3 linked regions of the Ovis aries genome follow. The protein of the gene in region 1 interacts with the protein of each later gene in a biochemical or structural test. Links are inferred from orthologs where the notes say so. Each region holds a gene or a part of one and is shown in the gene's direction. Other genes may lie near its edges. The genes, in order: SEC31A, KLHL12 and SEC13.

What was found.
Region 2: of the proteins of SEC31A (region 1) and KLHL12, one has a biochemical effect on the other in vitro, tested with the Homo sapiens proteins (3 studies listed by BioGRID, with this or other methods). The link is inferred for Ovis aries from reciprocal best matches to the Homo sapiens genes SEC31A and KLHL12.
Region 3: the proteins of SEC31A (region 1) and SEC13 form a complex in vitro, tested with the Homo sapiens proteins (2 studies listed by BioGRID and IntAct, with this or other methods). The link is inferred for Ovis aries from reciprocal best matches to the Homo sapiens genes SEC31A and SEC13.

What each region holds. Positions count from the first base shown.
Region 1 is NC_056059.1:98,364,408-98,368,057, reverse strand, and holds part of SEC31A (protein transport protein Sec31A), read left to right. Parts: intron 1-290; coding exon 291-554; intron 555-2,905; coding exon 2,906-3,025; intron 3,026-3,650. UniProt on the Homo sapiens protein: Component of the coat protein complex II (COPII) which promotes the formation of transport vesicles from the endoplasmic reticulum (ER).
Region 2 is NC_056065.1:79,286,485-79,290,234, forward strand, and holds the start of KLHL12 (kelch-like protein 12), read left to right. Parts: upstream 1-1,435; 5' UTR 1,436-1,562; intron 1,563-1,838; exon of another isoform or gene 1,839-1,953; intron 1,954-3,350; exon of another isoform or gene 3,351-3,434; intron 3,435-3,710; 5' UTR 3,711-3,750. UniProt on the Homo sapiens protein: Substrate-specific adapter of a BCR (BTB-CUL3-RBX1) E3 ubiquitin ligase complex that acts as a negative regulator of Wnt signaling pathway and ER-Golgi transport.
Region 3 is NC_056072.1:54,315,580-54,319,229, reverse strand, and holds part of SEC13 (protein SEC13 homolog), read left to right. Parts: intron 1-736; coding exon 737-888; intron 889-1,269; coding exon 1,270-1,403; intron 1,404-3,650. UniProt on the Homo sapiens protein: Functions as a component of the nuclear pore complex (NPC) and the COPII coat. At the endoplasmic reticulum, SEC13 is involved in the biogenesis of COPII-coated vesicles.

The sequences.
Region 1 (3,650 bases):
TCCATCCCTCGCTCAGCCCCCTGCCCCTTGGTACCACCAGTCTCTTCTGTATGTCCATGATTCTGTTTCTGTTTTGTAAATAAGTTCATCTGTGTCATATTTTAGAGTCTGCGTGTAAGTGATACCATGTGGCATTTGTCTTTCTCTTTCTGACTTACTTCACTCAGTATGATAATCTCTAGTTACACTCATGTTGCTGCAGATGGCTAACTCCTGTATTTAAAGCTGAGGAAATGTTGTTACATCATTTTTTTTCTTACTCCTGGTGCCTTTTGTCCATCTTTTAAAAGATGCCTGAGAACTTTACGCCTCCTGTTCCCATCACATCGCCAATCATGAACCCCTTGGGTGACCCCCAGTCACAGATGCTGCCGCAGCAGCCTTCAGCACCAGTACCGCTGCCCAGCCAAGCTCCGTTCCCACAGCCACACCTCGCCAGTGGCCAGCCCTTCCGTGGCATCCAGCAGCCCCTCAGTCAGCCAGGCATGCCTCCGTCGTTTTCAAAGCCCAATATCGAAGGTGCCCCTGGGGCTCCCATTGGAAATGCCATGCAGGTAACAGTGAATCTGTGGAAGTGGGAGATGGCTCTATTTTAGTGTGTTTCTTCAACGTGTTAACTTTTGTGGTTATACCTTTATTGTTATCTCAGTTTGATTTTCATTTAGACAACTTAAGTAAAAAAGAACTTTTTTTTTAAGATCACACGTGTACAGTATTTTCCAGTGATGTGGCCATATGCAAACATTCTAGATAGGGCTTATGTGTTTACTAGTATATGTTAACAGTAGCTTGGCAATTGAAGTATTTCGTTTCATCTAATCAGTAGCCACAATTTAAGATCAGTGGAATCCATATTGGCATCCAAGGCTGCTCAGCAGAAGCTGTTTCCAAAGGGTTTTTTCCTTTAAAATGTTTAAAGATAAAAATATAATGACTTCGATCTTTTCTTGTGTGTGTGTAAGAGCTAATAATATAGCCATATCTTTGGATAGAGATATCAGTTCATACTTGCTTTTCACATACAAGCAGCTAGTTGGCAGGGCTCTCAGTAATGAAAAAATCTTATCAGGTTTCCATGTAACTGACTTAGGCATAAAAGGTAATCTTGATCTATTCATGAAAAATAAAGAGGTTGGGTCCACAGTTCAACATAAGAAGATGAAATAAATTCCTGCCCAAGTATATAAAACTAGTTCTTCTGTCATTGTCTTTGACTCATTGAAGTCAAATTTATAAAGATTGTATCTATCACAAGAGTATGTTTTGCTGTTAAGAGAGTTCCTAGATATTAACAGTAGCATTATAAACTCCAGTGTTCTGATGGAGGTGGGAGGACCTGCTTCTTTTCACAAGAAGATACACTTGTATGCATTGTTAGTTTCCATGATTACAAGTCTGTGCCATTTGTAAAGCCATTCACTTGGGACCTGGGAGTTCGTGCTACACTCGTCTGGACCAGAACTTCAGTTACCAGGGAGAGGGAGAGCACCATGGATGTGTGTGGTTCAGCCAGGCAATGATACCCAGCTCCCTGTCCACTTGGATGTTTCTGAGGCACCTCACGCTTAGTATATCCAAAGTCCAATTCATAGTCTTCCTCCCAAACCTAGTTGTCTTTTGGTGTGTCTCGTTTCAGTTAATGCTACCATAATCCTTTTCATTTAATCCAGCCAGAAACCTGGGCATCTTTATACTCTTTTTCTTTTAACCTGTTTTCAGATCTATCCCCACATCTTGCTGATACTACTGTAAAGTCTCTCTCCCATCCCTTCTCCATGTTTCCAGTCTAGTCCATGCTGCCTTTGTCTCCAGTCTTCAGCAGTACAGGAGCCTCTCACTGGTCTGCCAGCATCTGCTATGACCCATCTCTTCTCTGGTCTTAGCTCATCGTTGCTTAACATGTTACCACATCCCACTGTTCTCAGGATAAGGACCAACATTTTTCATATTATCTGGAAGCTCTCAGCTCCTACTCCTCTTTGCTGTCTCTCTGCTCCAGCCAAGCTGACCTCCTTTCAGTCCCTATATCATGATCTTTCCTATGTACTGTTCTTCTGTCTGGAATGCACTTTTTCCCCTGTTTAACTCCTACTTAACCTTCTGATAAAACTTCCTTAAAGAGCCTTCCCCTCAGTTAAATCCCAGTTATATTGTCTGTTGGTTCCAGTGATGTGAACTTAACCACAGTTGCTGTTTTACATACATTTATGACATTTTTAAACTTTCCCTCCTGCTAGCCTGTAAACTCCCTGAGAGATAAGATTATTTCTGTATTGATTCATCAGTGCCTAATACATAATTGTCTAATATTTTCTACGAATGAATATAATCGATCAAAATTTTAAGCACTTACACATTCCTTCTTTGTTTATCCCTCTTATGCATTCAGTTAGGTCATGGTCTCTTCTATCCTAACCTTTGATTTAATCTCAGTTTGATAAAAGACCAGTTAACCAACCTTCAAGACTGTTTGAATAAACGAGAAGGAGCCAACAAGCAAAGAATGCAAGACTGTTGGAATAAACAAGGAGCCAACAAGCAAAGCAAGCAGTCACCCCCACCAGCCAGCTTTATAAACACCTGATTCTTTGTTTCTTACTGGCAAGGTCCTCTTGCTGATCAGTTATATACAGTCGTGATCAACATATGTTTCATGATTAAGCAAATACTTTATACCCAACCCTGCTTTTGAAAATAGAAGCTGTAGGAAGACTACCTGTATTTTCTATTGAATATCTGATTTTTCTGTTTGCTTATGCCAGGTGATTCCACGCGTTCATTTTTTGTTTGATTTTGAATGGCCTATCTATAAATTAGTTGTTTTCTCTTTATGACAGATTCAGGACTTTATATACAGGTAGTTTCTGGTCATTTCTGCTCATTTTAATGGTATTATTTCTTCCAGCATGTGCAGTCTTTGCCAACAGAAAAAATTACCAAGAAGCCTATTCCAGATGAACACCTCATTCTAAAGACCACATTCGAGGATCTTATTCAGCGCTGCCTCTCTTCAGCCACAGATCCTGTATGTGTTTTTTATTTTGCTTAATTAAAAGATTCCATTATGGAGCTCTTTTATATTTATTGCTTAAAGTCTTACAAGATGTATTTTGAAAGTTTTTGCAAAAGTGGTAAAGCTAGCATTTATGTATGGTTTGCTTTACATGTAAAAGCATACTCAGTTGTTTTTATATAATCCTTAAACCAGCCTCGTGGAGGTAGGTTTGTCATATTTATTTACAGATGAGGAAGTTAAGGCACAAAATAGTTACAGTATAATCCAGGCAGAGCCAGCATTCAGACCTAGTCTGGCTCCAGAATTCATGTTCTCAACCCCTGAGCTGCACTGACTCATCGACAGACATCATGTCCGGCGCAAGAACAGGGCAGAATGCTAAACTACAAGAAACTCAGACTTGGGGTTTCTTTCAGAGTGTATGTCTAAAGGTTTTAGAAGTAGGGACTTCCCTGGCAGTCTGGTGGTTCAGACTTTGCCTTCCAATTCGAGGGATGCAGGTTCAATCCCTGGTCAGGGAGCTAAGATCGCACATGCCTCATGGCCAAATAAACCAGAACGTGAAACAGAAGCAGTATTATAACAAGTTCAATAAAGACTTTTAATATGGTCCACATCAAAATATCTTTTTTTT
Region 2 (3,750 bases), on another chromosome or scaffold:
GCAGCTGGGGCCCTGCTGTGATTACACTCCATAATTATGAGGCACATTCTCCTGTCTGCCACGCTCTGATGGCACAACAATGCAGTACCCTCTGCCTAACTGGTTTCGAGATTTGCCCCACATTCGATGTACTTGATGTAGAGCTCCACAACACATCCATGCTTCCCTTACTGAAACCCTTCAGTAGCTGTCAACACCCAGAGTCTTCCCAGGCGTCCAAACACCAAGGCAGGGCAGTGTGTGGAACCTGACTGATCCACTCACCTCATCCAGACACAGCCCTCCAGCAACGGACCTAAGAACTCAGAATCAGTTTGGGCTGCAGGGTACCGAGTCAGATATCCAAAGTTTAGGACGGTGTCCCCGTGACTTGACTCAAAACATGTTAGGGCTGTACCCTTGAAGAAAACAGAAGCAGCCTGACTAGGCCCCTCGGTGTGTTGGCTTTCTTGCTGGCAGTGTCCTTGCTTGCAGCCAGGAATTAGGCAATATCATTAAAGCAACTAGATGCTATTCTGCAGCCAGAAGACAAGGGGTTGTTTTTATTTAAATTATACATACATTAAGTCCACATGATGTAAAATTCAAAAGGGACAAAAATACGTAGAGGAGAAAATCTCTCCCACCCTGTCTCCCAAACAACCAGTTCCTCTCTCCAAAGAAATTTCTGTTGCTACTCTACTTTGTATCTTTCCAACTGCAATTTTTATACATATACTGGCAAATATGACTGTATCTTTCCCTTCTACACAACTAATGGCAAAGAATACTCACTGTTCACAACTTCGTGGAATTGAATTGTACGGCGGCACCACACGTTACTGAAACAGTCCCCAATCCAATCTACAACCTTGTACACACATCCTTTTTCATGTGTGTGAGAATATACAAAGGATACATATACCCAAAAAATCGCTGTTAAAGGATATCTGCATTCATCATTCTGGCGAACTTTTACAAAATGCCCCCAGTAAAACCTGGATCAGTCCTGCACTCAGAAATTCGGAAATCAAGAGCATTTTAGATCAGAGATACTACATGAGAGATGGAAACACTACACAAAATTAGACTACGATACTGCCACCCGCTTGGCCATAGTTTTATTATCCCTGAAGAATCAAAGGCACCACAGTGGAAAACGGTACACTCAAGTACAGCTGGTTTGAACCTGCAAAGGAACAGTATCAAGAAACCTCATTCCCTTCCCAGGCGCTGAGATAAGTGCGCCAAAACCAATCAGAAGCAAAATTTCTAGCAGAACGCTCAGCACCCAGGAGCTGTGAAAGGCAGCAGAAGCGGACAGGGGGCCGGAGGACCCCCGGGACGTCTAAGGTCCTTCGCAGTCTCCCTGGCGGAGTCCCGCCTCCAGGGCCGCACGCCCCTTCCACGTAACTGTCTCGGAGGGCAAGCAGCAGAGAACCGCGCGGCGGTGGCCACAGACGCGACTGTGACGCAGAGAACGCCGAGGTCCGTGGTCGCGGGGCTCCGGGATTCTCATCACAGCGATGGTCGGCCCGAAAAGGCCACTGCGGACTATGGACGGGAGGAAACGGGGCGCCTCGGTGGGTTTCCTCGACGTGAGAGGGCGCCTGAACGCCTGTCAGGTGAAACGCGCCCTGCGGCCAGCTCCCTACCTTGGACACCTGCGCACTCCTCTCGGGTCTCCGCGTCTTGAGGCCCCAGGGTCGGTGGTCGCAGGGAGTCTCGGCCGCGGGCCGCACCCGTGCCGGGGCCCGCGCCCCCTTCGCGCCGCGTCCACCCGCTCCGCCCAGGCCCGCCCGCGGCGCCCGCAGTCACGTGACAGCGGCCTCGCACGTGACGCGGGCAGGCGCGACGTCATCACGGCGCGCGGCCGCGGGCGCGGCGCCGGAGCCTCCGGGTCCGGGCGGCGGCGCTTGGGCACCTCCCGGGCCGCCCGCTCGCCCCGCGCCCGCCCGGCGGGCCGGAGCGCAGGTGAGTGGCCCGGGGGCGGCAGCCGGTGCCCTCCCCCGCCGCCGTCCCCTCAGGGCGGGCGGGGGCGTCCAGGCGTCGAGCGCCGCGACCTCCGTCAGGAGGCTGTCGGGGAGGGGGGCGCCGCTGCTGTTGTCGCCCGCCGGGAGGCGGCCCCTCCAGCGGGGAGCTCGCGGGGGGCCCCGGACCAGGTGCCCTGGGGCGGAGCGCGGCCGGGGACCCCGGGAGCGGGCAGCCGCACGCTGGGGCCGTGTCTGTCTGACGCGCAGAGCCGGCTCCGACCCGCCGCCCCAGGGTCCTCCCCGTATAGCGGCGTCCGTGCGGGCCTTTCTCAGTCTCCAGAGTTGAAACGAAGTTGACTGCAGGAAGGCCTTTCTGGATATCGTCTTACGCCTGGATGAGCCACCTCCTTTCCTGTAGAACGGGTCCTGTGGAGTGGCTGGAGACCGTAAAGAATAGTGCGCTACCCATAAACAGGAGTAGATGAGGATTTAGGGGCTCGTTTTCCCTTTTCGTATAAAACTATGGTTGTGAGTTGTGGATTTTCGAAAAGCATAGTTTGATTTGATTTTCTTGGATCCTTACAGAAAATTTTGGATTCCACATAAGACAGACTCTTAGTCACCTTCCAATTTCGTTCCCCAGAAATTGTCCTTGAAGCAAATAAACAAAAATAAAATAATAACTTAACTGAAGCTTGTCAAAAATCAAGAAATTACTTCTATTAATTTTTTGACGTGTAGCCTGTTACTGAGTTCATTTAATTTATGCATACAGTGAACTTTACAAGTAACTGGCTGTGGCCATAAAATTAGTAGTAGTGTTTTGATACGTTTTCTATCCCAGTAATTCTCTCATAGTATAGAAGAATTACTACAAATACTAATTTGTTAATATTGATGAATGTATACTAATAGTTAGAGTAGGTGGACTTTCTATAGAACTTCAGTAGCTTAAGCTTGCATGGTCTCCATTATTCAGTGTAGGTACTGCATCCCCTGGAGAAGGATAATGGCATCCCACTCCAGTATTCTTGCCTGGAGAATCCCCGTGGACAGAGGATCATGGCGGGCTACAGTCCATAAGGTCACAAAGTGTCGGACATGACTGAAGTGACTTAGCATGCAGGCATGCATTGGGTCCTCATTTGAGGTTTCATTTTAAGAACAAATCCAAATATAGTTGGAAGTCATCATAAATAATTAATTGGGTGCTTCTTTAGAAAAAGTTTATTTTCACTGATACTGGCCCTTTTGCTCTAGGTTGAAGGTGCAGTTCCTTTCTTGCATTCTGTTACTGAACGTTTATTATACACTTGCTGGGAGAGAAAAAAAAAGATACATATATATAAAACTGGGTCCCCACCCTCTATAAATATTCAGCTACTTAATTTCCTTTAGGGTATTAAAAATAGTGACATCACACCTTTAAGAAATTGTATCTTCTGACTTTCACCGTGAGAGAGAGCGGCCTTGTGAAGATAGGTGAGAGAGGAATAGTCTCTTTCTCCTTGCAGCAGGGTGTTGGCGGCAGTTATGTCGGGTGGTTTGGGCACTCCATGGCAAGGGGAGTTCAGAGGGAGGAGGGATCCGATTTACTCAGGGGAATTAGTGGCTGGGTTGTGTTGGTAATGCCAGGAAGAGGCGTGTGCTCTACCTGTGGATGTTTGAGTCTGATGGCGCCGCCTCTGTTTGTAAAGCTAACTGAATATATGCAGTGTCCCCAGGCTTTCACACGTGCTCCCTGGCTTTGTTTCTTAGAGAATTCAAGGACCCCTTTCACTCGCTCTCCACGCTGCTT
Region 3 (3,650 bases), on another chromosome or scaffold:
CCTTTGTGGAGGTTGCGGCTGGACCATTGTCCCAGCTAAGGGAGGTGGCTCTTGAGTGTCCGCAGCCCCGGATGAATGGGTGAGCAGGGAGCAGCTCACAGGTGTCAAACTCGGGTTTTTCCTTTTCTTGTACCCAGCACTGTTTCAGACTCTTAAATGAGTTGTCACAGACATCTCCCTCATGACCACCACGTGAAAGAAGTCACGCTGACGTCTCTCTCAAGAGACAAAGCGAAAGAGAGGGTAACGGCCCTGCCCTGAAGTCAGGCAGCCAGTGAGTGGGGATGGGTGTGAAAGAGCCCGACCCATCCGCTGTGTGCTGGGTGCCCCCTCTTCTGAGCCGCGGACCCAGTACAGAGCCTGGCACGGCACATCCTCAGACAGTAGTGACCAGGTGAACGCACAGAGGTGGGAAGGGAAGAGAGAGCCCTGCCTTTTGAAAAAGTGCAGAGTAGTGGAAGGCACTGAGATGAAACATTCACTGCCTGCTCAAGAGCACAGCCTCCTCAAAGGCTCTGCTGGCTCAGGAGAGAGGGCTGGCTTGCTTTCAGCCTCAGGGTCCTCACTGTCCGCTGAAAGTCCCTTTTTGAGTGGCATTATTCAGCTCTATCCCTTTTGAAATTCTTCGGCAGTTCTCTCCTGAGAAGCCATTCACTTCTGTCCAAAGTAGTGGCCGGCAGAGTGCCCTGCCTTCCTTTTGCCCATCTGAACAGCCTCTGGCCCTCTCGCCTTGCAGCCATGAGGGTCCCGTGTGGCAGGTGGCCTGGGCCCACCCCATGTATGGCAATATACTCGCGTCCTGCTCCTACGACCGGAAAGTCATCATCTGGAAAGAGGAGAATGGCACCTGGGAGAAGACCCACGAGCACACAGGACACGACTCCTCAGGTACAGCGCGGGGAGCGGGCGGGGACAGGGCGCGCGGTGGGAGGGTCCATCTACAGCGGAGGCAAGGTCCTAAAACCTGAAGCCAATACAAAGCAAAACGAGAAGAGCAAAGACGAGACGGTTGGTTGGTTGGTTTTTTCCTGTAAGGTTTATTCATTTCAAGTACTGGTCTTTGTTCTGAGAGTATAAGATAGGCTTTAGCTGATGATGATGATATTAGTAGGTGATGGGTTTTTTAAATCTCAATTGACAAAATTACAACTTTCCCCAAGGTGATCCCTACGATTTTTCTTTTCTTTTTTCTTTTTTTTTTTTAGAAATTTAGTTAACAGTAAGTCTCGGACGTGAAAGTCTCTCACTGTGCCTCCTTTCTTCCTGCAGTAAACTCCGTATGCTGGGCTCCCCACGACTACGGCCTCATCCTGGCCTGCGGCAGCTCGGACGGGGCCATCTCGCTGCTGACCTACACCGGGCTGGGCCAGTGGGAAGTAAAGAAGATCAACAATGCTCACACTGTAAGTCCACACCCTGCCTGCGGGTTGCGGCCTCGCCACGTGTCTGCCCTTCCCTCCTTAGAGAAGGGCAGGAGCGGCGTCACTGCTGTGCAGTGTGCCACAGGAGGGCTGCTGAGCAGACACCTGCTGGGCAGGTCTGAGGCTCTTTGTGCCGAAGCCAGACAGAGGCTACATCCAGGGAGGCCAGGCTGCACCTGCCTTATTCAGCCCAGGGCGGCGCTGGCAACTGGTTCCTCCAAGTCAGGGAGGGCCAGGGCACTGGCAGGGTGGCAGCAGTAGCCTGCCTATCTGCCACCCTTGCTGTGCACAGCGCAAGTTGACATGGCCTGCAGTGACCACTGGGGCCCCTGGAACTGATTGGTGTTACAAAAAGCATCATAGGAAGTTCTCTGCTTCCTGTGTAAGGGTGAAACAGTCAAGGAAGCAGTGTGAACAGTGCTGGGAGGGCTCAAATTTCTTGGGCCTCTACTGTATGTCACGTAATCCTCACAGATGTTTGTGAATCAAAAAACTAACATGTACAGATGCGTGAGGTCACCAGTCCTGTTCTCATTTTGTGAATAGATATGTGAGGCCCAGATAACTGACTTAGAGGAGGTGCTGTGCTGGGGTAAGAACACTGGAATCTGTGTACCCCTTGTCTACACAGTCGTCCAGCCTTGTTGGCCCCAGAGCTTCTGAAAGCTATCCAGATGGAAGTCAGCAGCCCCAAGTCTAACCCCGTACTTTCGCAGTTCTCAGATCCTGGGAATCCACAGCCTGCCCAGCCTTCAAGGCCCCAAGAGCCTTTCTGTGGCTCTTGTTACTTGGGACCCTGTGACCTACATCTGCTGACTAACGTAAAATTGAATAGGCCTAGAGGCTTCTGGAAAGATGGCAGGGAATGACGTCATAGTGCTTAAGTCTCTTCCACATCTCTGCATAGAAACCAACAGAGCAACTTAGGTAGCAAAAACAAAACTTTCTAAGCAGTAGTTGACAACAGAACCGGGTAAAAAGGTATTTCCATAAACTTGAAAATACAAGCGAAGAGGGATGGACCAAATACAGCACCAAGACTGCGTGGTGTGGGCATGCGAGCAAGACGAGGAAGTAAGTGGCGAGCAGTGCCTTCCAGTGGCACCTGCGGAGGACCCGCAGAGAGCAGGAGGTGTTCACGGAGAAGCGCAGACAGCCGCTGTTTGAGAACAGGGATTCTGGACTTCTGTTTGTAACATGTTAAACTCATAAAATTCACCCTTTTAAAAATACAGAGTTCTGTAGTTTTTGCTATACTCACAAAGTTGTACAACTCTCACCACTAACACCCAGTGGTATTATTGGGGTGATAATACTCATCACCCCAGTAAGAAACCCCATTAGCAGTCACTCTCCACCCTACCCTACCCCCAGCCCTAAGCAACCCTAGTCTACCTTCTACCTCTATGAATCTGCCCACTGGACATTGCTGGTGGACATTACATATTGTCTCTGGACACTGCCTGTAAGTGGAACTATGCAGTACAGCCCACAGAAGACTGACTTCTCTCACTTGGCTTGTTTTCAGGGTTTATCCATGTTTCATCCAGATCATAGCATATATCACTGCTTTGTTCCTTTTTTATGGCTGAATAATATTCCATTGCATGAAAAATATATATATATACACACACACACACATTTTATTTTGCATTTATTTCATTTTTATTGATCAGCGGTCATTATGAATAACACTCTTACAAACATTTGTGTATAAGTTTGTGGTTTTAATTTTTGGGGGTAACTGCCTGGGTGTGGAACTGCCAAGTAAGGGAAGCTCTGTTTAATTTTTTGAAGTAACTGCTAAACTGTTATCCAAATTAACTGCCCCGTTTTACATCCCTGCTAGCAGTGTATGAGGGCTTCGGTTTCTCCACATCCTTGCCAACATTCCTTTTCTTTTTGATGATAGCCGTCCCAGTGGGTGTAAAGTAGTACCTCCTTGCAGTTTCGATTTGAATTTCTCCAATGACTAATGATGTTGGGCATCTTTTCACATGCTTCCTGGCCTTTTGTGTGTCTTCTTTGGAGAACTGATAGGGGGATGGGCTTGCACTGTCTCATACTAGGTGAGTGCAGGGGACCCACCGTAAGAAAGACTGGAAAGGGGGCTGGGGAAGTCTCACCATATGACCCGCTGGCCTTGCTTCCACGGCAGTGCTCCTCGTGAGCAGAGGGACGCAGAGCCAGAGAGAGACACAGAATGGAGGATGCAGACCAGAGTGGGCG